Mus musculus: one gene and its partners. The protein of the gene in region 1 interacts with the protein of each later gene in a pairwise test. Links are inferred from orthologs where the notes say so. Each region holds a gene or a part of one and is shown in the gene's direction. Other genes may lie near its edges. The genes, in order: Htt, Zbtb16, Rnf20, Rnf40, Hypk, Ywhab and Hax1.

The links.
Region 2: the proteins of Htt (region 1) and Zbtb16 interact in binary tests that used the Homo sapiens proteins (3 or more experiments, as listed by UniProt). The link is inferred for Mus musculus from reciprocal best matches to the Homo sapiens genes HTT and ZBTB16.
Region 3: the proteins of Htt (region 1) and Rnf20 interact in binary tests that used the Homo sapiens proteins (3 or more experiments, as listed by UniProt). The link is inferred for Mus musculus from reciprocal best matches to the Homo sapiens genes HTT and RNF20.
Region 4: the proteins of Htt (region 1) and Rnf40 interact in binary tests that used the Homo sapiens proteins (3 or more experiments, as listed by UniProt). The link is inferred for Mus musculus from reciprocal best matches to the Homo sapiens genes HTT and RNF40.
Region 5: the proteins of Htt (region 1) and Hypk interact in binary tests that used the Homo sapiens proteins (3 or more experiments, as listed by UniProt). The link is inferred for Mus musculus from reciprocal best matches to the Homo sapiens genes HTT and HYPK.
Region 6: the proteins of Htt (region 1) and Ywhab interact in binary tests that used the Homo sapiens proteins (3 or more experiments, as listed by UniProt). The link is inferred for Mus musculus from reciprocal best matches to the Homo sapiens genes HTT and YWHAB.
Region 7: the proteins of Htt (region 1) and Hax1 interact in binary tests that used the Homo sapiens proteins (3 or more experiments, as listed by UniProt). The link is inferred for Mus musculus from reciprocal best matches to the Homo sapiens genes HTT and HAX1.

The regions. Positions count from the first base shown.
Region 1 is NC_000071.6:34,760,316-34,764,539, forward strand, and holds the start of Htt (huntingtin), read left to right. Parts: upstream 1-1,424; 5' UTR 1,425-1,591; coding exon 1,592-1,794; intron 1,795-4,224.
Region 2 is NC_000075.6:48,829,726-48,833,225, reverse strand, and holds part of Zbtb16 (zinc finger and BTB domain-containing protein 16), read left to right. Parts: intron 1-126; 5' UTR 127-215; coding exon 216-1,483; intron 1,484-3,500. UniProt on the Homo sapiens protein: Acts as a transcriptional repressor. Transcriptional repression may be mediated through recruitment of histone deacetylases to target promoters. May play a role in myeloid maturation and in the development and/or maintenance of other differentiated tissues.
Region 3 is NC_000070.6:49,638,560-49,642,059, forward strand, and holds part of Rnf20 (E3 ubiquitin-protein ligase BRE1A), read left to right. Parts: intron 1-65; coding exon 66-248; intron 249-365; exon of another isoform or gene 366-3,415; intron 3,416-3,492; exon of another isoform or gene 3,493-3,500. UniProt on the Homo sapiens protein: Component of the RNF20/40 E3 ubiquitin-protein ligase complex that mediates monoubiquitination of 'Lys-120' of histone H2B (H2BK120ub1).
Region 4 is NC_000073.6:127,587,226-127,591,497, forward strand, and holds the start of Rnf40 (E3 ubiquitin-protein ligase BRE1B), read left to right. Parts: upstream 1-1,472; 5' UTR 1,473-1,586; intron 1,587-1,699; 5' UTR 1,700-1,771; coding exon 1,772-1,903; intron 1,904-2,286; coding exon 2,287-2,454; intron 2,455-2,531; coding exon 2,532-2,673; intron 2,674-3,281; coding exon 3,282-3,488; intron 3,489-4,056; coding exon of another isoform or gene 4,057-4,089; coding exon 4,090-4,211; intron 4,212-4,272. Other genes in the region: Ccdc189 (coiled-coil domain-containing protein 189), read right to left, coding at 339-370, 652-864.
Region 5 is NC_000068.7:121,455,810-121,458,940, forward strand, and holds Hypk (huntingtin-interacting protein K), read left to right. Parts: upstream 1-1,278; 5' UTR 1,279-1,296; coding exon 1,297-1,482; intron 1,483-1,836; coding exon 1,837-1,892; intron 1,893-2,182; coding exon 2,183-2,234; intron 2,235-2,339; coding exon 2,340-2,435; 3' UTR 2,436-2,631; downstream 2,632-3,131. Other genes in the region: Serinc4 (serine incorporator 4), read right to left, coding at 1-32, 182-346, 646-744. UniProt on the Homo sapiens protein: Component of several N-terminal acetyltransferase complexes. Inhibits the N-terminal acetylation activity of the N-terminal acetyltransferase NAA10-NAA15 complex (also called the NatA complex).
Region 6 is NC_000068.7:164,008,697-164,012,196, forward strand, and holds part of Ywhab (14-3-3 protein beta/alpha), read left to right. Parts: intron 1-2,905; 5' UTR 2,906-2,908; coding exon 2,909-3,208; intron 3,209-3,500. UniProt on the Homo sapiens protein: Adapter protein implicated in the regulation of a large spectrum of both general and specialized signaling pathways. Binds to a large number of partners, usually by recognition of a phosphoserine or phosphothreonine motif.
Region 7 is NC_000069.6:89,995,917-90,000,211, reverse strand, and holds the start of Hax1 (HCLS1-associated protein X-1), read left to right. Parts: upstream 1-1,495; 5' UTR 1,496-1,631; coding exon 1,632-1,684; intron 1,685-1,713; exon of another isoform or gene 1,714-1,887; intron 1,888-2,108; exon of another isoform or gene 2,109-2,208; coding exon 2,209-2,474; intron 2,475-2,637; coding exon 2,638-2,825; intron 2,826-3,913; coding exon 3,914-3,965; intron 3,966-4,094; coding exon 4,095-4,201; intron 4,202-4,295. UniProt on the Homo sapiens protein: Recruits the Arp2/3 complex to the cell cortex and regulates reorganization of the cortical actin cytoskeleton via its interaction with KCNC3 and the Arp2/3 complex. Slows down the rate of inactivation of KCNC3 channels. Promotes GNA13-mediated cell migration.

The DNA.
Region 1 (4,224 bases):
TTCGAGAAAATGGAGTGCCTTATGGCCATGGAATAGGGCATTTGATTCTTACAGGTAGCCTGAAGCTTCATTGGGTTTCTCACTGCATGGATCACCTCCAGACAGCTTTTTCTGAAGCCGGAACGGTTTTGTTTGTTTGTTTGAGACAGGGTTTCTATGTAGCTCTGGCTGTCCTGGAACTCACTTTGTAGAACAGGCTGACCTATAACTCAGAGATCTGCCTGCCTCTGCCTCCAGACTGCTGAGATTAAAGGTGTGTTCTATCACTGCTTGGCTTTTTCCTTTTCCTTTTTCTTTTGAGACAAGTTCTGATACAGCCCATGCTGACTTGAATTCACTATGAAGCCAAGGAAAACCTGGAACTCCTGATCCTCGTTCTACCTGCAGAGTACATGATTACCACCCCTGGTTTATAAAATGCAGGGATTGAACTCAGAGCTTCGTGCATGCTACTCAAAAAGCATTCTACAAGTGCTGTGATTAAAGGCATGCACCACCATGCCCGGTTGAAGCCAACACTTTTTGCTGGGCAGACTGCAGGGGCAGCTTGGGTGTATCCACACCATTTTCAGCTTCCTGCTTTAATTGCTCACCTTTGGGAGATGGAGGCTCTAGAGACAAGGACTTCAGCGCTGGTGGCAATGAGACCCCTTGTAGGTCCTGGCTGGTTGCCACAGCACTTTCCAGGGTCCGTGTCTCAATGTAGAGTGTGTGACCAAAGTTGCATGAAACACAGCCTTTCTTTGGACAGTAACTACTGCTGCCTGCCTGAAACCCTTTCTCAGCCTTCGCTGCCTGCTTGAAACCCTTTCTCAGCCTTCTCTACTGCAGACACTTCTGGGGCTTCGGGGTCCACGGATCATAAAGGGTTCTTTGGTCCTGAATACAGGTCACTCTGGTTCCCTTCTCATTGCAGGGAGCTCCCAGCACGCTGCGTTCGGGAAGCTCAGGCCACCACCTGGCTTGTGGAAGAGAGAGCTGCTTTGGGTTTCGGGTTCCGAGCTCCACAATCGCTTTCCCGGTGACTCCAGGTGTAGGGTGGCTTTACGCAGGAAAATTTCTTCGCTGTCATTCCCCTTTCCAACCTTTTCTTCCTTCCGGGTCTCCCCAACTCCTCTGCCCACCTCCTCACTTCTTTTCTATCGCTGGTGCCAGGGAGCCGCCCTAAAGCCCACTCTCCGCTCAGCTCCGTCCCTCATCTAGCAGCCCGCCCCGCCCACCTCATCCTCTTGCTTGGCCCTCTTCACTAAGGGGGGCTGGCTTTTGCGGGAAGGGGCGGGGCCACATCGGCGGGGCGGAGAGTCTTAAACTAGCAGAGGCCCCGCAGGCCTGCGTCCTGACTTCGGGAAAGAGGACGACGCATCCGCCTGTCAATTCTGCGGGTCTGGCGTGGCCTCGTCTCCGCCGGCATGACGTCACGGGACGCACTCGCCGCGAGGGTTGCCGGGACGGGCCCAAGATGGCTGAGCGCCTTGGTTCCGCTTCTGCCTGCCGCGCAGAGCCCCATTCATTGCCTTGCTGCTAAGTGGCGCCGCGTAGTGCCAGTAGGCTCCAAGTCTTCAGGGTCTGTCCCATCGGGCAGGAAGCCGTCATGGCAACCCTGGAAAAGCTGATGAAGGCTTTCGAGTCGCTCAAGTCGTTTCAGCAGCAACAGCAGCAGCAGCCACCGCCGCAGGCGCCGCCGCCACCGCCGCCGCCGCCTCCGCCTCAACCCCCTCAGCCGCCGCCTCAGGGGCAGCCGCCGCCGCCACCACCGCCGCTGCCAGGTCCGGCAGAGGAACCGCTGCACCGACCGTGAGTCCGGGCGCCGCAGCTCCCGCCCGGGCCCCGCGCCCCTGGCCTGCGTGCTGGGCATGGCCAACACTGTTCCCTGTCCAGAGGGTCGCGGTACCTCCCTGAGGCCAGGCTTTCCCGGCCCGGGCCCTCGTCTTGCGGGGTCTCTGGCCTCCCTCAGAGGAGACAGAGCCGGGTCAGGCCAGCCAGGGACTCGCTGAGGGGCGTCACGACTCCAGTGCCTTCGCCGTTCCCAGTTTGCGAAGTTAGGGAACGAACTTGTTTCTCTCTTCTGGAGAAACTGGGGCGGTGGCGCACATGACTGTTGTGAAGAGAACTTGGAGAGGCAGAGATCTCTAGGGTTACCTCCTCATCAGGCCTAAGAGCTGGGAGTGCAGGACAGCGTGAGAGATGTGCGGGTAGTGGATGACATAATGCTTTTAGGAGGTCTCGGCGGGAGTGCTGAGGGCGGGGGAGTGTGAACGCATCCAATGGGATATTCTTTTTCCAAGTGACACTTGAAGCAGCCTGTGACTCGAGGCACTTCGTACTCTCCTGGCGTTTCATTTAGTTTGTGGTGTAGTGTAGTTAAACCAGGTTTTAAGCATAGCCAGAGAGGTGTGCTTCTGTGTGTCTGCAGGCAGTTGGATGAGTTGTATTTGTCAAGTACATGGTGAGTTACTTAGGTGTGATTATTAATAAAAAACTATATGTGTGCATATATATGAAAGAGTCGACTTATACTTAACTGCCTATCGATTTTTTGTTCTATATAAAACGGATACATTGGTGGTGCTCAGTTTTCACCGGGGAATGAATTTTACTAGTGTTGCAGACAGGCTTGTTTTAGAACATAGGCCACTCTGACTCTGACTTTGTGCCAGTAAAAGTTCCTGTTTAGTTCTTTGCTGACATCTTATAGATCTTTGGAAGCTAGCTGCTTGTGACTGGAGAGAATATTGAAACAGAAGAGAGACCATGAGTCACAGTGCTCTAAGAGAAAAGAGACGCTCAAAACATTTCCTGGAAATCCATGCTGAGTGTTGAGCCCTGTGCTCTCTTGCAGCTCAGTCCTTTCTCTCAACTCTGGGCATTTTATTTCTAATCTGGATTTGTATAATTAATAAGGAGAACTTTTGGGAACAACCTACTAAAGAATGTCATCATTAAAACTCACTTAGAAAATAAGTGTTCTGGTGATATCATTGAGCTATGTTCCCAGTCCTGAGAGTTTGTTTTTTTTTTTTTTTTTAAATAAAGATTTGGGGAGAAAAGGTGGCTTACTTGATAGAACAAAATATAGGAATAAAATTTCCTTCTATAAGGTGAAAAGTGTGAATAGAAAACTTCTTATCCTCTAGATAAGTAGTTTCTTTTTGCTTTTGAGAGTCTCACTATGTAACTCTTGACCTGAACTCAGAGAGATCCATCCTCCTGCCTCTGCCTCCTCTCTCTGGGATTAAAGGCATGTGGCACCATGCTGGGCTGTCCAAGTATGCCACAGACCCTCTAGGTCCCTGGTCTTCGAGGAACGGGATTTCTTAGGCAGATGGGTAAGGAGTCGGATGAAAATGACAATCAGCCACACACAAGAGAGGTGTTGAATCTGAATGTAATGTTCTGGTTGAGCTTCAGACTTATATAACAACGAATTATCAGAGGATACAAATCACAAAAAGACAAGATACACTGAAATTCACCAGTTACAGCAGAAAGGAATTTGCAGGGACTAATTAAATGTTTACATTAGGGATAACAAGCCCTGCCTAGGATCAGCCTAATGCCAGGCAAGAATTTCACACTTTAAGGTTAAAAGCATCAGGGGGTTGTTAACTCTTGACAGGCCTTAAGAGTAATGTGCTATCACTGAGCTCTAAATTCTTAGGTCTAGTAAAACTTATCCTGTCTGGAGAGTTCCCCCTTATCAGGGTAGTATATCAACTTATACTTGACATGGAATGAAGCCTGTAGTAAAACATTTCTATCTCAGTGAGACTTTTAGTCTCTATCTGTAAACAGCTGAGTAAAATGGCAAGTGCTTAATTGTTTACTGAATGGGTTAAGCTCCTTGCTGCTATCTGGAATCTAAGAACACTGGGGAAAGGCTTTAGCTATGTTAGAATACAATATTAAAAGGCATTTACTATAAGGTGATGCTTAATAGAGTGCACGTGAATCTATACACTAGATTAATGTGGTGGAAATTTGAATATAATGGGTTAGGGAAAGAGATGCCATAACTCTGGGAGGAAAATTTCCCTGGACTCTTATCCTCGTGAAACAGCTTCCAGGCTTTTCGCCTGACAAACCGATCCAAACTGGAGAGTTGGCTTTCGCCAGAATATCCAGGAGGAGAGTCCTAGAAATTCATTTCTCATGAGCAGCTTTTTGGCATTTTTGCCTCACAAGCTGACTCCACCAGAGTACCCTGACACAAGTATTGTCTAGTTA
Region 2 (3,500 bases), on another chromosome or scaffold:
CCCCGCAACCAAGCCTCTTTCTGGGGTAGAGGCATACTGTAGCCTTTGACTTTTTATTATAAGGGACACTGGGGAAGTTGTTGTCACTTGCTCACCCCTTTTGTCTTCTCTTCCCTTCTTCTCCAGTCCCCTCTGCTGGCCCCGACATCTACACCGCCCCACCTTGCAGAGCAGAGAAGGAAAGAGAGCCCCATGCCTGAGCCCAGGGGAGCATCATGGATCTGACAAAGATGGGGATGATCCAGCTGCAGAACCCTAGCCACCCCACGGGGCTGCTGTGCAAGGCCAATCAGATGCGACTGGCTGGGACTTTGTGCGATGTGGTCATCATGGTGGACAGCCAGGAGTTCCATGCCCACCGGACGGTGCTAGCCTGCACCAGCAAGATGTTTGAGATCCTCTTCCACCGAAACAGCCAGCACTATACTCTAGACTTCCTCTCGCCAAAAACCTTCCAGCAGATCCTGGAGTACGCCTACACGGCCACACTGCAAGCCAAGGCGGAGGACCTGGATGACCTGCTGTATGCAGCTGAGATTTTAGAGATCGAATACCTGGAGGAGCAGTGCCTGAAGATCCTGGAGACCATCCAGGCATCTGATGACAATGACACAGAGGCCACCATGGCTGACGGTGGGGGCGAAGAAGAAGAGGACCGTAAGGCTCGATACCTCAAGAACATCTTTATCTCGAAGCATTCCAGCGAGGAGAGTGGCTACGCCAGTGTGGCTGGACAGAGCCTCCCTGGGCCCATGGTGGACCAGAGCCCCTCAGTCTCCACCTCTTTCGGTCTCTCAGCCATGAGTCCTACCAAGGCAGCCGTGGACAGCTTGATGAGTATAGGACAGTCACTCCTGCAAGGAACTCTTCAGCCACCTGCAGGGCCTGAGGAGCCCACACTGGCAGGGGGTGGGCGACACCCTGGGGTGGCTGAGGTGAAGATGGAAATGATGCAGGTAGATGAAGCCCCTGGCCAGGACAGCCCTGGGGCAGCTGAGTCTAGCATCTCAGGAGGGATGGGGGACAAGCTTGAAGAGAGGAGCAAAGAGGGGCCTGGGACCCCGACTCGAGGCAGTGTCATCACTAGTGCCAGAGAGCTGCATTATGGGAGAGAGGAGAGTGGTGAGCAGCTCTCGCCTCCTGTTGAAGCTGGCCAGGGACCCCCTGGGCGGCAGGAGCCCCTGGCACCCCCAGTGGAGAAGCATTTGGGTATCTACTCGGTGCTGCCCAACCACAAGGCCGATGCTGTGTTGAGCATGCCGTCTTCAGTGACGTCCGGTCTCCATGTGCAACCTGCCCTGGCAGTCTCCATGGACTTCAGCACCTACGGGGGTCTGCTGCCTCAGGGCTTCATCCAGAGGGAGCTGTTCAGCAAGCTGGGGGAGCTGGCTGTGGGCATGAAGGCTGAGAGCCGCCCTCTGGGGGAGCAGTGCAGCGTGTGTGGGGTCGAGCTTCCGGACAACGAGGCAGTGGAGCAGCACAGGTAAGCCCCTGCCGCAGTAGCCCTGCAACCATGCTCTGGCTTGCATAGCGTTTCTTTATGCCAGGACCATCCTGAATCTGGGGACTTGACTCCTTTGTGCTCTTTGAAAAACCACACCGAACCATTCTTCTCATTATTGAGGCATAGGCGGGCACGGTTATTTTCAGAGGACAGTGAGGAGAAATGGTGTCTAGCTGGTAACATCAGGGAACTCTTGGGGTCAGCCTGTAGGCCCTCCTTGCCATTTTGCTTTTGGGCCTCCATCTGGTTTTTCTGTGGTTTGGACTACACTTTTGTTTTGCCTAGAGTGACTGTTTAATAATAAAGTGATGAGAAGAAGGGCAGAAAGTGGGGTTCAGGCTGAGGGTCTCCTCTGATCTGGATCTAGCCATGGTATCAGTCTAGCTTTTTCTTTGCCCACTGTCGGCAGCCTATGATGAAAGCAGGGGTTGGGGATCGTTTAAGTCCTGTATGTACCCATAGGTCTCAAGTGTCTCTTTTGGCAGGCACATTGTGAGGCAGAGAAAGCTTTAGTTAAATTTAAGGAGAAGAGTTTTGGTCTTACAGCCTATATAGCCTCTTCTCATGCCATCTCTTATCATAAAGGCTAGCCCTCTGGCTTCTGGCTTCATCTTTGCAACGCCCTTCCCACTTTTGAGTTCTTGTGATATGTTTGGTTTAGGACAGGTGCTTCACCTGGAATTGCACCTCTGTTACAATATCCCCCAGAGGTAGGTTGTGTTTCTTTTAGTAAGACACAGGGAAAATGCTGCGGCTGAGTTCTACGAAGGCAGGAAGATGCAAAGTAAGACATCCTGTGAGTGATGGTTCCTTGTAGCTACCCAATGAAGAAGATCCTTCCTGCACAACAGGTTGGGGAGCACTGGCCCAAGAGAAGGGAGTTAGCAGTGGGCTTGCCTTTTCTGTTTGCCATAAACTACAAGCCCATCATTTTCGCCCCGCGTCCCTGAGTCGGACCAGTTGCGCCCACAAATCTGGTTTTCTGTTGTTATGGATGCTAACTTTTTACACAACTTCCGGCTGGCTGATTTGCTGACCTTGGGTGGATTTTCCACCTTTGTGTGCACTCTTCCTCCTCCTCCATTCCTGTTGCTTATTTAGGTGGGGGAACTTGAGGGGGTGGGAAACCGATATAATCACCTCTACCCGCAGCGTGCTCCGGAAGCTTCCTGACCGGCCGAGCTGAGCTGTACCTTATGGAAAGTGGTACTCAGCTAAAAAAGTAAACATTTCTTTTTCCAGAGAGTACAGAAAATAACAACTGCGGATATGTGTCTTCTTAGGACTTGAGCTGCTCAAAAAATAGACTGATGAAATTGTGCTTGTTTTTTGCTCTTGCTTTTCTTAAGAGGAAACACCCCCCTGAACCTTGACCAGATAGGTCTATCATTCCGGATGTGAATGTGCTGTGAAAAGGGGGGTAATATGGAAAGTCACTTTTTAAGGTCAGTTTTTGGGTGTGTGTGTGGGGGGTAGAGAGAGCTCTGTTGTTAAAGTGCTTGCTATGCAAATGTGAGGACCTGCATATGTAAAAAGCCATGCATTCCAACAACACCAAAAAAAAAAAAACCCAAATTCAGCAAAATGCAGCTGCAATCATAGCCCAGGGGAGGTGGAGATAGACTGGAATCCTGGAACTGTGGCCAGTCAGCCAAATTCACAAGCTCCAGGCGCAACAAGAGATCTCATCATACACACACACACACACACACACACACACACACACACACATGTATATGTGTATGTATGTGTATATATGTACATACACACATATATGTATATATATATGTGTGTACGTGTACATATATACACATACATACACATACATATATCTGTATATATATGTGTGTATGTATATACACATGTGTGTATACATATATACATACATGTATATATACATGTACATATATATATATGGATGTGAAGAATGATTGAAGAAGATTTCTGGCTCCCACAAGCACACACACACACACACACACACACACACACACACACA
Region 3 (3,500 bases), on another chromosome or scaffold:
GAGGGAAAATTTGCTATTTCCAGATTTATAATTTGGGGGGGCTTTTTTTCTCCCCATGTTCTCAGGGGATGGGCAAGAGCCAGCTTTCTCTTTCCTTGCTACTTTGGCTAGCAGTTCCAGTGAAGAGATGGAATCTCAGCTTCAGGAGCGTGTAGAGTCCTCCCGCCGTGCTGTGTCCCAGATTGTGACTGTCTATGATAAATTGCAAGAAAAAGTGGATCTCTTATCCCGGAAACTGAACAGTGGAGGTGAGGAGAAGACCAGGAGACAGGGATCAATGGGAGGCAAGAACTCAGCTCTAGGAGGCTTGGGGTGCTGCTCAGTAGTAAGGGAGAATGTGGCTAGGTGTGTGGCTTCTATTCCAGCACCAAAACGAGTAAGAGAGGAAAACTCAGTTTAACGAAGCTCCCTGGAGTTTTAACCCTTGTGACTCTCAGTGTAATTCCCATGACATGCTAACGATATACTTTCATAAGTAGAAGTAAACTTCTGACTTCAGATGGTGAGTTTTAATGTGTTCCTTTTCCTTTGGTGTATTTAAAGACAGTTAGATGAGGTAGTAAAGTAATAAGATGACTCCTGTGTTTGAAGAGATAGAATAGGAAACCAGTGGATGAAAAAGCCTTAAAGTAAAATGACCATTTGGAATACTTATTGAGTTTTATTACTGAAATTATGTTTGTACAGTATAGGAAGTATACTAAAATTATTAAAGATCTTTAGTCATTTGTGATAGATCTCTTTCTTAAATGCAGATAAAATGCCTTTATTTCAGGTTTTCAACATTAGCCATGATCTGGTTACAGTATCTTTTAAGAAGTTTTATTGTATATGTATATGTGAGTGTATAATTATATACACATGAGTGTAGGTAACTGAGGAGTTCAGAAGAGGGCATCAGGTCCCCCTGGACCTTGAGTTGTTGGCCACCTGACATGGATTTTTGGTAACTAAACTGGGGTTCCCTGCAAGAGCAGTACATTCTCTTATCCTCTAGCCATCTCCCTAACCCTCTGTTGTAGTATTTTAGCTGCCGTGATTATCATCAAGATATTTAATGTTTTAATCTCCTAAATAAATTAGTTAACTATAATGTGCTTTATTTACTAGGTGAGCAAATAAGAACTGTATTATTCTAGAATTTTATTTTCAAGAAAATTCTTAAAAATTGCTTCTTTTTTAGTACGGTAATTAATATGCTTGTTTATATTTTATTTTTTAATTAGGATACTACAGTTGAGAGTGGATGGGTATGACTACTCCTTCCTATTGCTATAAAACTAGCTGTGTGATACTTCTGTCTCCCATGGCTCTAATTGACTGCCTAGAGGGTATTGTTAAACCACTCTAATGTGGGGAATGTACAATGTGCAGAGGTTATTTTGATGCTACATTTGATATTTTAGGTGAATGTCAAGTACATTATTTGCTATATTTGTAAAGGAATTAGACTGAATAGAAAATAAAACTGAACTAAGAACTGTTTTGGGGTTCTGTGTCTACAAGATTGCTCAGCTTTGAAGGCTCTTGCACAAGCCTGATAACAAGCGTTTAATCTCTGGTTCCCACAAGGTGGCAGGAGACAACCAATTCTTGAGGGTTATCCTTTGACCTCCAAATTCACGTGCCTGTACACACAGGACAGACCCATGCATACACAGAAACAAAAATTATTTTTTGTAAGTGTGTTTTAAGATCAAGTTTAAGTTAAAAAAAAAACACATTTTATTTTAAATTCTAAATAGTTAAGCTGTTTGTGATCCAGAGGAAATCTGTGTTGATAAAAAAAGTAAAGATATATATCTTTATATCTATATGAATTATAATGTATATTATAACTCATAACACATATATGTATATGTGTGCTATGAATTATAATACTGAGTAATAACTTTTTAGAAGTTCATTTTCACCCATGGTTTCATTCTTGTTTAGATTTATGGCTTATTTATTAATTTACTAACACTCACTGGGTTTTAATTGAATTTTAGGGCCTGGCTTCAGAACTTAGGGTATTGAAGAATGAAAATTTAGGCATTAGTTTTTAACTCAGGTTGACTCAGTCGCCGTTTAATTATGTATTTATTTTGCCATAGCTATGGAGAGTCTTAACTAGAGGGTTTTGTATGAGTCCCTGGGAATTGTCTATCTTGAAAGTCTGATAAATGATTCAGGTGGGCAATCCTACATGGAAACTGGGAACCCGTGACTTGACTGATCTGTTGCATGAGTACTGAGAGCAGTAATAACAAGTGGTGTAGGAATGCTTTTTCCTGGCAACTCTAAAGGATAATGTGTGTCTGGAGACTAATTGGTTCCATTTATAGCACATAGATTGAGCTGTAATAATTATGACTAATTTTAAACACCTGAATTCAGCATAAGAAATTCTAAAGATGTAACTTGTAAATTTGTAAATATTATGTACATTTTTGACTTTGAGCTTCAGGAACTTTAGACCGTGTACAACTGTGCTTACCCAAGGCTACCTACTCTCCACCTTGATGCCCTTCCCCCATTGTGTTTGATGCCATTGGATATTCATTCCATTACGAACAGTGGCCAGCCAGGTGTGGAGTCCAAACTGTCAAGTCCAGCCTGTGCAATGATGTAGTGATAATGCAAAGTAAAGCCTTTATGTCTGGCTTTGAGTAAAATGTTCCAGCAGAGCCTATGCTTTGTTTGGGTTGATCCATAGAGGCTGAGAAACTTTTTTTGAGACTGTTTGAACTTAAAGAAGAAACATTGTGTCTCTTGAAGGTCTGCACTTGGTGCTACTTGAGAGCTTGCCACTGCACAAACCTTGATCCTAAGACACTCGAGGCAAACCTGGAGTTCTTCCTCCTGATTTTTGGCTAGCCATGATCAAAGGGACTGAGATTCGTATGGGTCATTTGCTCTCTCTGGTAGCAAAGGAAAGAAAATCAACCTTGATAGTTGGAACCTTTTCCAGACCCAATTAATTTTGTACTTAACATAATATTGTGATAAGTGAGTTCTGTGTTTTTATCTTTGTTCATTGGGATTTTTATATGTGATTATTTGAAGATAGAAATTATGCTTCCTGTCTCTCCACCACAAAAGAGAGATGCTTCATGTTGTTATTAGTTAATAATAGGAGTTTGTGATTACCTTATAAAATAAAATTGTATTGCTTTAATTTGGACACTGCTTAGAAATCTTGTCTGTTCTAAATTCTAAAGTATCTATTTTTGGTGATGGTAATTGTATGTGAATACAATGATATAGCCTTCATTTATTTGTTCAAGGCATTTGTCTTAACAGAGATGAGAATAGGTGATGGTTGCAGGTTGACTCATTTATATAACCAATTACCTATCACCTGACCTGGGTGCTTCCTGTGTCCTGTGAGATAACACACTAGGTTACTTTCTGACATTCTGAGGATAGTGAGGTGAGCCATCAGGTTGATGCTTTGATGCAATAGATGATTGTACAACTTAAGACTATTGATACTAAACTAAAGTGCAGTTCTTCTT
Region 4 (4,272 bases), on another chromosome or scaffold:
AAAGCTACAAGGAGAAACAATGTCTTGAAAACCCCCCAAAAAACAACTTTGAGTCCTTGTCTTGCTCTGTGTGACCTTGATGAAGTCCCCTGGGCCTTGGCATCGGTGTGCACAGTGCTCCATCATTGCAGCTGTGTACATTCCTGCCTTTGCCTCCCTTCTCACACCGCCACTTTACACTGAGGCACCTGGCACGCTGGTGACTCGTTACCTTGAGCACTTCTCAGTCTCATCTTTGTAAAACTGGAGAGCCCTGGCTGGACAGGACTGTTGAGGACACCTTACAGGAGTAATACAAATGAGAAGTGTAACTTTTCCCCTGGGCTCTCCACACTCACCACATACAGATCCGGGGCTGGGGTAGTGGTGGCTGCGGAGAGAAGACAGATTATGGGACAAATAGATACGACAGTATGTATCCCCTAGTCCCTAGTACCTCATGAATTTCTAGCAGGTCTGAGTGTGCTATAATTTTAACTATAGCAAAATAGGTAAAACCGGGCTTCGGTGGGCTCGAAATACTATTTAGCAGCCTATTTACAATCAAAGCAACTCCAGGAAATTCCCTAATGTTGATAAACGTAATGACTGGCGGCACCTTTTTTGGGAAACCTAAGTATTCACTAGAGGACAACTCTGTCCCGCCCTCACCGGGAACAAGTTGGCTCCAGGATCTTCAGCCACTTCCACAGGGCTACTAGTGGCTTCTGCGGGCGACTCGGTCTGCATGTCTGTTCCGTTCCTTATGGCCGAGCCGTCCACCGAGCTGGGACTCCTGTCCAGTTCCTCCTGCAATTTGGGAGATTGTTCCGACTCCATCTGCACCTTCATTCCCAGGCTCTGGCTGGAACTGGGGGTAATCATCTCTTCGTCCTTCTTAGCCTCAGTCAAGGGCTCTCCAGCCTGGGCTCTGGGACAGCCAGCTCTCCCACTGCAAAGCCCGGTCCTGCCCCTTCTAGTGTTTCTTCAGAGGCGGTGAAGCGAGAGGCAGCCAATCCGCAGAGGGCGTCTTCCCAACTTGTCTCCCCGGTGACCGTTGTTAAGGAAAGTAGAAAGTACAAGCCCACGCCAATCATTGAAAAGATAGAGCGCATGCGTAACGAGTTGCACGTGCCTCTTAGAAGTTGCTTGTAAGGGTGCTTTTGAGGGTCGGTCTTTTTAAAGATTTAATTTAAATCTTTAAAAGATTGTGTTTGTGCGTGCGTGTGCGCACATATGTACAGGATGTTCGGGAGGGCTCCGCGGAGGCCAGGAGAGGATGACGGATCCTCTGGATCTGGAGTTACAAGGGGTCGTGTACCGAGTACCCCGAACAGCAGCAAAGGCTCCACCCCTCCATCTCCTAGTGCAACTGCGGGGTCAGTAACTATGGGAACCGCCTGCTGGCCAATCATTAAGAGAAATACAGTCCGTCGCGGGGTTGGAGGGGTGGGACTAAAAGACTCGAGAGGAGGAACCAAGAGCTACCAATAGAAACAGGAAATAAGTTTCGCCACATCCGGAGCGGCTCTGACGCCTGCGCTGTGCGTCTGGCGGCCGGTGACGTCCGGTGAAATCCAAGATGGTGGCGCTTGGCTGACCCTACGGTAAGTGCGGACCCCCGTCCGGCGGGGGCGGGGTCCGGGAGATATGTCCAGGGGGACGCTCAGGACTGCGGAGCTCCAGACGCATCCACAGCTCAGCTCTCTGTTTTCTGCAGGTGACGGAAGTGCCGCCTCCACCCGCCTGCCAGCCCCGGAGAGCCCTGAGTTGCCCCTCCGCCACCGCCGCTATGTCTGGCCTCAGCAACAAGCGCGCCGCCGGCGACGGGGGCTCAGGACCCCCAGAGAAGAAGATGAACCGCGAGGAGAAGACCACGACCACTCTAATCGAACCCATTCGTCTCGGCGGCATTTCTTCCACGGTTGGTGGGCTTTTGCGAAAGTCACATTTGGCCTGCGCCCAAAGTGTTTGGAATCTTGTGTGTGCTCGTGTGTATATACACAAACCGGGTGGTGAGGGTGGGTGTGCCAACGGCGTGAATGTGATCAGAGAACAACTTTACGGAGTCCCTTCTGGCCTTTTACTTATGCGCACATATGTTCCCGTAAGTCCTGTGTGATGTGTCTGAGTTGGAAACAGGTAGGGGCAGGAACGGAATGTGAAGCTCTCATGACTAGCATATTCTCTTTGCAAGTGTCTGAGCCTTGCTATATACCTCTCCCCTTTCAGTCTAATCCTTGTCCTATTGTGTGTCAGTGATGGTTCAGGGTCCTGCCCGACACTCTGCCTCTTCCCTTCTGGTAGGAGGAGATGGATTCCAAGGTACTGCAGTTCAAGAACAAGAAGCTGGCGGAGCGGTTGGAGCAGCGGCAAGCCTGCGAGGATGAGCTCCGGGAGAGAATTGAGAAATTGGAGAAGAGGCAGGCCACTGATGATGCCACACTCCTCATCGTCAACCGCTACTGGGCCCAGGTGGATGCCTGAAGAGCGAGCGTCCTACTGGGAGAAGCCCTGAGGCATTCCTAACCTCTTGTTCTTTCTTCTTTCAGCTGGATGAAACTGTAGAAGCCCTCCTCCAGTGCTACGAGAACCAGAGGGAACTGTCTTCAGGGACAGAGGTGCCTGGGTGCCAAGAGGGCCTGACCCGTGATGTGATCCCTCGACCAGACCCAGGGACATCAGATCTGAGGGGTAGGACCAGGGCCCTGGGGAGCTTATGTTCTCAGAAAGGTTTTGAGGAGGAGGTGACTTTGATGTGGGGCTACCGAAATGCCCGGCACTTGGGAAGCAGAAGTTGCTGTCCTGGAACTCACTTTGTAGACCAGGCTGGCTTCAAACTCAGAAATTTGCCTGCCTCTGCCTCCCGAGTGCTGGGATTAAAGGCGTGTGCCACCACGCCCATCGTGAGACTCTGTCTTAAAAACATGGGTTTTTTGTTTTTTTTTTTTTTTTTGGTTTTTTTAATATTCTTTTTTAATGGAATGAACAAAGTTTTAGAATCTAATTGGATTTTCATAATCCCAGCCTTCTGAAAAGTAGAAGCAGAAGTCTTTCTGTTTATCAATTAATTCATTTATTTTGGTTTTTCAAGACAGGGTTTCTCTGTGTAATGTTGGCTGACTTGGAACTCACTCTGTAGACTAGGCTGGCCTCAAACTCAGAGTGTGCTGGGATTAAAGGTGTGCGCCACCACCACCCGGCAGCCATGGAATACCAAGCAGCTTATTCTGGGACTTGGTAGAGGTTGATGGTCCCTGCTGTGGCCTTTCATTCTGATGAGGATTCTCTGTCCCTTCCAGAACCGCTGCCAGTGCAGTTTCGAGCCCCTCTCAGTGAGCCGGCCTTGGCTTTTGTGGTGGCACTGGGCGCCAGCAGCTGTGAGGAAGTGGAGCTGCAGCTGCAGGGTCGGATGGAATTCTCCAAGGCTGCCGTGTCTCGGGTGGTCGAGGCCTCGGACCGCCTGCAACGGCAGGTGGAAGAACTCTGTCAGCGAGTATACAGCCGGGGTTAGTTCTGTGGACCCTACCCTGAGAAATCCACCCTGGCCTGCGTTGTTCAGAGTCCCCAGTAAATGTCAGCCTTGTTCTTGTTGGGACAACTTAGTTCAGACGGGGATTTCAGCTTTAGTTCCTGAAGTGGGGCTCTAGAGAGACGGCTGGAGGAGCTGTTGATGCTGGCAGGGTCACAGCCCTTCAGCAGGAGGGCTCTCTGGAACTTTGCACCAACCTCAGGGGTAGCTATTGTCCCACTACACTGAGAGGCAAGTGCCCAGGCTTTTTGAGGCAAGGGGTTTTTTCCTCCTGCCCTTAATTCTCCTCCCTAGTGTCCATTTTCTTGGCTGAATGGTCCCTCTGTGAGCTAGCTTAGTCTGAGTTTGTCATAAGCAGTTGGTGAGATAGCTGGTGCATAACACTGAGCACAGAAACTCCAGGATCAACTAGTTCTTCCTTGGTTATCCAGGGACTCCAGGATCAACTAGTTCTTCCTTGGTTATCCAGGGACTCCGGGATCAGCTAGTTCTTCCTTGGTTATCCAGGGACTCCGGGATCAGCTAGTTCTTCCTTGGTTATCCAGGGTTTGGCTCTCATCCAGGCTTTGCATTCCCAGGGGACAGTGAGGCCCCTGGGGAGGTGGCACGGGTGCGCACCCGGGAGCTAGGCAGAGAGAACCGTAGGCTACAGGACTTGGCCACTCAGCTGCAAGAGAAACACCACCGCATCTCGTTGGAGGTAGGAGTTGGGCTTTGGGTGCGGTTAGAACTTGGGCAGGGTTTGGGTTTGCTATCCGAGG
Region 5 (3,131 bases), on another chromosome or scaffold:
AGGTGGGCACATAGCACTGAGGGCATCTGGATCTGCAGGGAGTTGGTTGTGAGAAAAGTCAGGGCCAGCCACAATCTATGGACAGTCTCAACTTTTTACTGGTAGGTTGACTCCTTTGCTCCCTGTCCCAAATCTTAAAGGTTTTTTTTTTTCCCTCACATTGCAACCCTTGCCGACTTACCCCATGTGCTTTGCCCCAGACCCTTTCTACCACTGTCTTCGAAAGCAGGAGGCAGCAGATTGCTGAGGCTCCCACGTGGAGGAGGATGTAGAGCAGGCGGCTACACCTAGACTCTGTCAGAGAGTGGCAGCCACTGGTCCAAGAAACAGGTCCACAGCAGGATGCCTGGGGATAGAAGCAATGCAGAGTTTTTCAAAGGGTGTGGGGTTAACCAATGGTCAAATTCCCAAACCCTCCATCCTTCTGTCTGGTTATGAGCCTCTTAGGATTACCTTCCACAAAGCACTAGTAAGGTTTTCATTGCAAGAACTTTAAACTTTGGTGTATTCTTGAACCACTTAACTTTTTCCTAATGATCTATGGCTGGGAATGTGGAATGAGATGTTTACCTATTACCCAGGCAAAGAACCAGGTTTCTCATCCCAACTCCTAGCTTTTTAGCTATCTCTTCCCAAATGTCTCACCTGATTGAAGGGGGTTTCCACTACATTACTGACTCCACCGTGCTGCTGTGCAAGACCCTGGGTGGTGCTCCGGCCGGTGACAACTTTTGCACCCATCATTTTTGTTAGATGTAGATCCAGTATTGGAAAAACTGACGAGAAACAGCAGCTTCTCGGGATTTTCGCCCATTGGACAGTCGCTTTGCTGGCCTAATCATTCGTCTTAAGGCAGCATAGACATGTCATAAAATGAATACAGGTTACCAGGAAGTGGTAGATAGATGCAAATAGTCTTGTGAAGATGCCTTCGCCGGGCTTCCTATTCGGGATCATTCGGACTGTTATTCTGAGATTAGGAGCAGTTGGCCTATCAGGTCTAGGGATTAGGTTTTTTAATTGGTTTAGGATTAGCCACCTTGATTGGACAGAATTCCATGTGTGTGTCTCTATGTGTGAAAGGATTGCTCTTAGGAACAATGTGCCTTGGTGGTGTGGGTAGTGAACAGATAGTCGAAGGAGACTGCAGAAAACAAGCTGGAGAGGAAGTCAAAAGCGAACCTCTTTGCTAGCTGAAGCTTCTCAAGACAGGCACAAAGGTGTGGTCCACGCCTACCCCGCCCCTTATCTGGGCGGAAGCTGTGAGGGTTGCCGGAAGTTGTGAAGCGGCAGCCTATGCGGCGGCGCGGTGAGATCGAAATGGCGACCGAGGGAGACGTGGAGTTGGAGTTAGAGACCGAGACCAGCGGCCCGGAGCGGCCTCCCGAGAAGCCAAGGAAACATGACAGTGGTGCTGCTGACCTAGAGCGGGTTACTGACTATGCGGAGGAGAAGGAGATCCAGAGTTCGAATCTTGAAACGGTGAAGTTGGCTGGGAGCTTGTATGAGGGGTTGAGAGAGGGGCGGGAGAGAGGTGAGACTGACCGGTTTGCTGCTCACTGGGGCTCCGGGAAGGCTGATAGCAATGGTGGGATTTGGCAGTAGGGTGGGGCTAAGCGACAGCACCCACCCAGTCTGCTGTTTGCTTAAGAATTCGATAGAGATTGGGCCTAAATAGATCTCATGTGCACGAAATTAGGCGTAGTCCTTTGGTCCTGAGAACACTCGTAGTTGTGAATACCTGAAAACCACGTGGTTTTTATTTTTGGTATTGCGTTTTAGATCAGAAAATTTGCGTGGCACGGTGGTAGATAACTTGACTCGTGTTTTCTACAGGCTATGTCCGTCATTGGAGACAGACGGTCCAGGGAACAAAAGGCCAAACAAGAGCGGTAAGTTTAAAGCACACCACCAGCACTACCGGTAGGTCCTCGTTCTCCAGGGGAAAAAAAAGTTTACGTCTTTAACCAATTTCTACAGATCTAGGGATTACAACTTTGTTAGTGGAAGGAAAGATTCCAGGATACCTTACTGTAAAACCTCCAGGGGAAAGAGTTGGCGCGTTTATTTGCTATTTTCAGTAAACCTTGTTCCACCCATTTTCAGTGAGTAGCTGGGAGTGTTCCTTCTGGGAGTTTATAGCAGAGGCAGAGAATGAAAAGAAATGTATAAATATTTACAGGGAGAAGGAACTGGCGAAGGTCACTATCAAGAAGGAAGATCTGGAGTTGATAGTGAGTATTAATTTTTTAATGGATTCACAAGAGAAGTGCTACCTAATTTGGGCTCCTGAAACAAGTGGAGAAGAGGCTTTGGTGACGTGATTTTCCCTTTTGCAGATGACGGAAATGGAGATCTCTCGAGCAGCAGCAGAAAGGAGCTTGAGGGAACACATGGGCAATGTGGTGGAGGCTCTTATTGCCCTAACCAACTGATAATGTGCTTTTTTAGACATTCTGGACTGACTGACTGACTGAAATAAAGTGTTCTGTTTTGCTGTTTTTTTTTTTTCTTCAGTTTCATCTCAGATCAAATGCATTATATATTCTATTTTATTGTCAGTTTCTATGTTGGACCTTGATGAAACTGTGTGAACAATCAGTATAAAGAAGTACCTAATGTTCAAATGCAGGCTCTTATATTGTGTGTGTGATTCCTCTACTGCCATAGTGTTTCTAATAACTACCACATGGGAAACAAATTTAAGTGCCCTTTTCTACCAAGCCATCTTGCCAGCTCTAAGCAGCAGATACTAAGTGGTATGTTAGTATCACTCACCTGACTAGCTCTTTCTTGGCAATGTAGAGTACATTTGGATCCTCTGCAAAAGATCCAAATGCATATGTTTCTAGGATAGCTTATGCACTTTTCCCCTTGGATCTGTTCTTGTATAAACCAGGCTGTTTCCAAACTGAGACCCCTCCCTAACTTGAAAGCTGCTTCAACTAACTCTCCAGGCTAGCTTATGAGTATCAAAGGCTAGCATCTGTTTTGGGGGCTTTTAAGTTATCAACTGTATTTACAAACAACTGGAATAAACACTTAGGTTCTAGAAATGGGAACACAGATATCAAAATGTTGGATCAGGCCTGGAGAGGTGACTCAGTAAGTACCTGCCTCAAAAGCAAAAT
Region 6 (3,500 bases), on another chromosome or scaffold:
TACTGCCAAGTTTGGAGGGTAGGGCCCGGATCTGTTTTACCATCTCATTTAGGAGCTCTTTGTGCATACCAGGCAATGTGCAGGAGACTGGGAGAGACTGGAAATAGAATACAAAATTTGGTTGATTCATTATAACCTTAGAAACAGAACAAAACAAAGTCCAGGGCTGTTACACAATGCTAGAGTGTAATATACATGAGGCTCTGAGTTCGAAGCCAGCCTGGATTACAGACTGAGTTCCAGGACAGCCGTGGCTATACAGAGAACCCTGTATAGAGAAAAAGAAGAAGAAGAAGAAAAAGAAAGATACCACAACCAAAGGCAAGCTAAATGAACAGTTTTAAATATCCGAAATATTGTGGTTTCAAAAGGTGGCACTAGTCACATTTTCTAGTGAATAGCCACATGTAGCTGGTGGCTGTGGTGTAGGGATCATGTGAGGAAGAGCTATTGCCTAGTGAGTGAGTCAAGACAGAAAGTGGATTTGTATGCAGACAGCCATTTTTACAGCAGCACGTGTGAGAGGGTTTGGTGTTTGTTGCTGTTCTCATGATCTAGGAAGACGCCATGGAAACAATCAGAGGATGGTTTTGATAGTTGAGACGTGAGGTAGCTCAAGATGGTGACCTGAAGTGCAGGTTGGGTGTTAGGTAGGCGAAGAAAGAGGGACTGTTTCATTTTTCCTTGTCTGTGCCTTCCTCCAAACTAGTAGATGTTGTGTAACCCATTTCCTGTTGAAATTGGCCCGGCTGCTCCAAATCCATGCTATGTAAGTCTTGAGTTATGTAAGTAAGCATCAGGGCCTTTAGTTAGTGTTTTCTTGTGTGTGTGTGTGTGTGTGTGTGTGTGTGTGTGTGTGTGTCTGCGCACAATTGAAAGTTTTAGAAAATACCCGTTTTCTTTTTAAAGACATACATTTATGTCTGCAGTAACATGATGGTTTTTAATCTTCAAGAACTCTGACAGTGTCAAAGAATCTTAAAATAGTTATTTTGGATTTGTTTATTTATTTTGATTTTTTTGAGACAGGGTTTCTCTGTGTAGCTCTGGCTGACCTGGAGCTTACTCTAGACCAGGCTGGCCTTGGAACTCACAGAGATCCACCTGCCTCTGCCTCCCAAGTGCTGGGATGGATTTATTTCTTTTTATGTATATAGGGGTGTGTGTGTGTGTGTGTGTGTGTGTGTGTATGTATGCATGCATGTGTATGATTATGTGTATGCATGCGTGTGAGTGAGTGTGTGTGTACGTGTGTGTACGCGCGAACGTGTATGCTTGTTGCTCACAGAAGCCAAAAGAGGGCATTGCATCATTGAAGCTAGAATTCTGGGTGGTTGTAAGCTGCTACAAGCATGAAGGGATTTGAACCCAAGTCCTCTTGAAAGAGCAGCTCTTCCCTGCTGAGTCAACTCTCCAGCCCCTGGCACTTCTCTTTGATGCTGCATGTCTAGTGTGGCATAGTCCCTCAGGAACTTGTTCTGTAGAAAGTCACCATTGGTGGGCTGCGCATAAGAATGCATGGACTTGTAGGTGACAGCTCTAAGAGAAAGGCCTAGGGTTTTCACTGGTTTTTGCCTGGGAGAACTGTCATTTCTGCTGACATTTCTTCTAGCCAGAATGCTTGCTGTTTGACTCTTAGCTGCTGTGGGATGCTGTGAAGTAGACAGTGAGAAGGGTCTTCTGTATTGGCAGGGTGTAGAGCTAAGGTTACTTTAAAAAAGAAAAAGCATCATGTATGTATTGTTATGTGTACTGTATTATATGTCCACACATTTATCTGTGTACCACATACACTCTGCAGCCAGAAGTGGGGTGAAAGTGGTCAGACCCCCTGGAACCAGCGCTATGAACTGCCCTGTAGGTTTTTGGAATTAAATGCAGGTCCTTTGGATTAGCGGGCAGCATAAACTTCAAAAAAAGTTATTAGGTGGCTGTCAACATGGCTTAGCAAGAAAAGGAGATTGGAGCCAAACTTGATGACCCAAGTTCAATCCCTGGAACCCACGTGGTGCAGGGAGAGAGCCAGCTCCCACAGTTATCCTCCTTTCCCCACACGTGTCCATGCATGCACTCTCCCATGGGCGTGTACACACAAATGAATGTTTAAAATACACAGAAAGTGTTTTAAAAGCACTTTCTGTGTATTGGGGAGGGGGATAGGATAGTGGAACAAAGAAGCTCTAGAAGAAGCAGGCAAGTTTAAAGGCCTTGTATTAAATAATAAAGCGTGAAAACTTCTATATAACGTTTAAAGCTGTAGGCCTTTTGCTGAGGCAGTCTCCAGCAGCCCATCTAACTTAGCCTGACTTCCAGCCTGCCCCAGCCAGGTGACTAGCGGTTTACCTCTCTGCTCTGCTCTGCTCTGCTCTGTCAGTGTCCTTTCCCTGCTGCCTTCAGCTCCTTCAGCCTGTCTCCCCTGCGGCACTCTCTCTGCCCAGAAGGTCCACCCTTGTACTTCCTGCCCCAGTGGTGAGACAACTCCAGATCGCCTCTTTGGTTGCCTAAGCCATTGAGGGTTGTTACAAATAGGAAGCTGGTGATGAGCTGTAGCAATGACAATACCAAAATTCTGCCATCACCAGAATTAACAATTTAAAATACATACCTTAATACAATATGGAAAAGGTCACTCCAACAGTCTTGACTTCCACTGTGTTCTACATGCTGGGCTCTTCTGGGTTCATTGTTTTCTTTCTTTTAATCTTCATGTTTTCTAAGAAGGTAGAAGGGTTTTTGGGATATGCCTACCATGTAGGATGGTTGATAACAGCTGACCAAAATGAGTTTTAAAGCCTTGGCCCAGTCTTGGCTCTGTAGACATTCAGTATATGATTCACATTCTTGATTGCATTGTAAGAGTGTTGGAAACCTGACATTTGCGTTCTCTGTGCTCTTGCTGTTGTAGAAAATGACCATGGATAAGAGTGAGCTGGTACAGAAAGCCAAACTGGCTGAGCAGGCTGAGCGCTATGATGACATGGCTGCAGCTATGAAGGCCGTAACAGAGCAGGGACACGAACTCTCCAATGAAGAGAGGAATCTACTCTCTGTTGCCTACAAGAACGTGGTAGGTGCCCGCCGCTCTTCCTGGCGTGTCATCTCCAGCATCGAACAGAAAACCGAGAGGAATGAGAAGAAGCAGCAGATGGGCAAAGAGTACCGTGAGAAGATCGAGGCGGAGCTGCAGGACATCTGCAACGATGTGCTGGTGAGGGCGGCGCTCCTGCTTTACACAGCATCTCTAGGCATAGCGAGCGGTCCAGATGCAGGCTCTCAGACAGCTTAGGGGAGAGAGAGAGGAGGTGCTCTGCTGGACTCAAGCTAAGAGCCACCTGTCACTTGTTCTAAAGCATGTAACTTGGGTTTTGTCACCGTTTCTTGATCAGTTCATCTTCTCTGGGGTGTTTTCCTTCCCTCAAAAAGACCTACAGCAAACAGGAACATTGCATAAACTTTCCTCCATTTTTCTTTAGAAATTGAAGTCAAATAAAGAGGCTATT
Region 7 (4,295 bases), on another chromosome or scaffold:
TTACCGTACCAACTGGGGCCTCTTCTAGCAGGCTCGAAGGCTGTGGAATAAAGTGAAATCTTTGCCCTTTAAGATCTCTCACCTTAATGTGCTAATATTTTGCCCTTAAGGGGATTTCCTTATACATTCTGTGACTGGAAAGAACTACTGCAAATCTTCATTTCTTCTAGAAACTGCCTCATCTACAGCACGTTTCAGGAAGTGAAAGGGGAAGGAGCTAAGGACATTTAGAAGGCAAAGGACCTTGTGGGAATCTAAGCATGGTTTTAAAGGATTCTGAAGTCTCAAGCCAGCATTAGCTGCTGGCCGGCAGAACTCAATCTTGGGGTCTTTTTCTCTTTGGAGGAGTATAGTAGTTCTTGTTCTCTGAGTTATGTTTTTGAGACAGTCTCACTATGTAACCCTGACTGGCCTGGAGCTTGGTGTGGAGACCAGGTTGGTCTCACATTCAGAGATCTGCCTGCTTCTACCTCTTGAGTGCTAAGGTTAAAGGTTGTCAGCACTACACCCTGCCTTGCCTATTTTATGTGGCTTTGAAATGCCTACATTTTGGGAAAAGAATGGATGATCTTAGAGCAAGACCTGGGGTGGGGGCATGGTGCAGTAAAAGGTTTTTGGACTTCAATTACGTGAAAGAGAAGTTTCATTTTTCTTTGTAAGAGCCATATTGCCAGGGACTCGAGATCCTGTTTCAGCCTTCCAAAACTGCAAATATCCTCTGTGCTGAGGAGGTGAGGGAGGTCTGTTTATTTTGAGTCAGAGTCTCACTCTGTAGCCGACTTGCCTGAAACTCAGTGAGGAGCAGGCTGGCCTTATACCTCCCGAGTGGATTAAAACACCATCAAATTTCATTACGGCATGGTTTTCCCAAGACACAAGTAGCTTCTCGTTCCTGCCTAGTCTACAAATCTTACCTTGTTAGTTGGCCATCTGTTTAGTTTTTTAAAAGCAGCGTGTGGTGGTAACCGCCTTAAATCCCAGCATCTGGGAGGCATTAGGCAGGCGGGTTTGTAAGCCCCTTTGGTCTACAATCAGTTCCAGGACAGTCTGAACACCACACAGAAACCCTGTATCGAAAAAAACAAGCTTAAAAACTCCCTACTAGCTGAAGAGATTCCTAGCATCTTTATTCAGCAGTAGGGAAATCGCGGTTTAAGGAACTAGGTAACTTCGCCTAGCCTAGTATTAGACGTCACCGACATCAGTCTAAAACAAAACACAAGGTGGGGGGTGTTTTCTGATCCTGGGGTGAAGCAGGCCTCTGAACAGGCCACTCCCTCTGGCGGCTACCTGGGACCCTCCAGAGAGAAACGGAAACCCCCCTCGGGGGCCTGGCAGATCAGCAGGAGAAAGAATCTCCTAGAAGGGACGTGATCTTGAACTGGGAATTTCGCACGTCCACCCTCACTCAAAACTGAAAGGTAGCGTATAGAAGCTTCGTGTCTGAGGAGCACGGTCAGCCCCGCCTCTTCCTCCGGCTTACGACTTTTACGACAACGCCGCACCGTAGGGTTGCTTTCCGGCAGCGAACGCTGAGCCCTGGCTATATCCGACAGGGTAGCGTAAGCTGGTCGTGGTCTCGTGTTGCCCATGGGCTGCAGAGCTTCAAAGTTTCTAGTGCCCCTACTGGAATGAGCGTCTTTGATCTTTTCCGAGGCTTTTTCGGCTTTCCTGGACCTCGGAGGTGAGAATAGTTCTGGGCTGGATATACGGGAGGGGTGTTTTGGTGGACACTTGACCCCTTCATCATATTTTTGGAAAGCTTCCTTTCCCGCCCCCTTCAACTCCTGCTGAGAGGTCAAAGATCGCATTCTTGAGTACTCACCCCGCCACAGTAATCAAAGCAGTGGTTAAGAGGACAGAAACGGCAGCTTTCTCCAGACCTGGGTGATGCAACAGGGACCTGGGCGGAGAAAACAATGGGGGTCTGGGGAAGAGGACCATGAGCAAGTAATTGGGCGATTAGTAGTAGGCTGGATGACCCTGAAGAAAAACCATGGGTCGTCTGGCAGCTGTTGGGAGGTGCGGAGAGGCTCTGTTTAGAAACAATACAAAACCCTAATAGATCCATCAACGTTGTTCTGAAACCAGATCTCCTGTGTTTTCAGCTGCCCAGACCCCTCTTTGGCCCAGTTTGCTGCCCTTGTGTTGATTTTTATGGCTTAGACAGTGTTGAAGTCTTCGTGGCTTATTTGCCTTCACTCTCAGCCACAGAGATCCTTTTTTTGGAGGGATGACTCGAGATGATGACGACGATGATGATGATGATGACGAAGCGGAGGAAGACAGAGGCGCGTGGGGTCGAGAGAGCTATGCGTTTGATGGTTCTCAGCCTCCAGAGGAATTCGGTTTCAGCTTCAGCCCCAGGGGAGGGATGCGATTCCACGGCAACTTTGGCTTTGATGATCTAGTACGAGATTTTAATAGCATCTTCAGCGAGATGGGGGCCTGGACCTTGCCTTCCCACTCTCCTGGTGTGTGAATTTCCCTGAGGGAGACCCTATGGGTTTCTAGTGGGTTAGTGATGAATAACAGAACTTGCAGAGTAGTTGGGATAGTCTACAGAAATTGATTTTTAAAAGACTTAAAATGTTTAAGGCCTTTCCTATCCCAGAATCACCTACCAACTTTCTACAGAACTTCCAGGTCCTGAGTCAGAAACACCTGGTGAGAGACTGCGGGAGGGGCAGACACTACGAGACTCAATGCTTAAGTACCCAGATAGTCACCAACCCAGGATCTTTGAGGGGGTCTTGGAGAGTCATGCAAAACCTGAATCCCCAAAACCAGCTCCAGATTGGGGGTCGCAGGGACCTTTTCATAGGGTGAGTACTCTCTGCACCTGAACTGTAAGCCCTTGGTGGGATCTCTTAGAGTTGAGTTGCAATTTTAGCCCCTTTAATTAGTTCATTTATCCAGATTTTCTTCATTATTGGGATTTTCGTTTTGAAACTTACTTCACTGTATAGATTTAGATATCTGCCTGCCTCTGGATTAAATGTGTGCCACCACACCTCATCTAAGATTTATTTTCTTTTATATGTATGAGTGTTTTGCCTGCTTGAATGTCTCTGTACCACATGTACCTGTGCCCACAGAGGTCAAAAAGGATATTGAATCCCCTGGAACTCAAATTATGTATGGTTATGAGCCACCATGCTCTTGCTGGGAACTATAAACTATGGTCCTCTACAAGAGTGTCCCCTCCCCTCTCTTATTTGATTTGATTTGTTTGTTTATGTATTTTGAGACGGAGTCTCTGTAGTATTGGCTGACCTGGAACTTGCTATATAGACCATGCTGGCCTCAAACTCAGGGATCTCCTGCCTCTGAGTTTGTTAGTTAGGATTTTGTTGCTGTTTGTTGGTGTTTTGTTTTGTTTTTTGTTTGTTTGTTTGTTTCAAGACAGGGTTTCTCTGTGTAGCCCTGGCTGTCCTGGAACTCACTCTGTAGACCAGGCTGGCCTCGAACTCAGAAATCTGCCTGCCTCTGCCTCCGGAGTGCTGGGATTAAAGGCGTGCACCACCATGCCCGGTTTGACACCTTCCAATCTTAAACTTGAAGGTCAGAGAACCCATATTCCTCCCTTGTTCCAAAACCCCAGAAATACTTCCATTTGGGCAGCTTATATTCACATACCTTCTTCCTTAGTTTTATATGGACTTCTACGAAAAAGAATTCCTGAAATTCTTTCCTGCACTTTTAAGATTCGTTCTTAGCCGGGCGTGGTGGCACACGCTTTTAATCCCAGCACTCGGGAGGCAAAGGCAGGTGGATTTCTGAGTTCAAGGCCAGCCTGGTCTACAAAGTGAGTTCCAGGACAGCCAGAGCTATACAGAGAAACCCTGTCTGGAAAAAAAAAAAAAAGATTGGAAGGTGTTTTTTCACTGATTGTGTGTGGCTTCTTCTACAGTTGGATGATACATGGCCTGTGAGTCCCCATTCTAGAGCCAAAGAGGACAAAGGTAAGTCTAGAAGGAGGCACATTTACCATACCATTCTCCTGAAGTTCTCTCAGAAGGTTCTTCCTGAAAAACGTATCTAATTACCTGCCCTCCACTCTCTCCTGGCTTGTCATCTCTCTGCCCTTCCAGATCTTGACTCCCAGGTTTCCCAGGAAGGTCTGGGTCCACTTCTTCAACCCCAGCCCAAATCGTATTTCAAAAGTATCTCTGTGACCAAGATCACTAAGCCAGATGGGGTGAGTTGAGAGGAAGAAGTATAATCCTCTGGGGAAAGGGACCAGTATAAGAAAATACTAAACTCAGCATAGTGCTGTTAGCAATATATTGGGA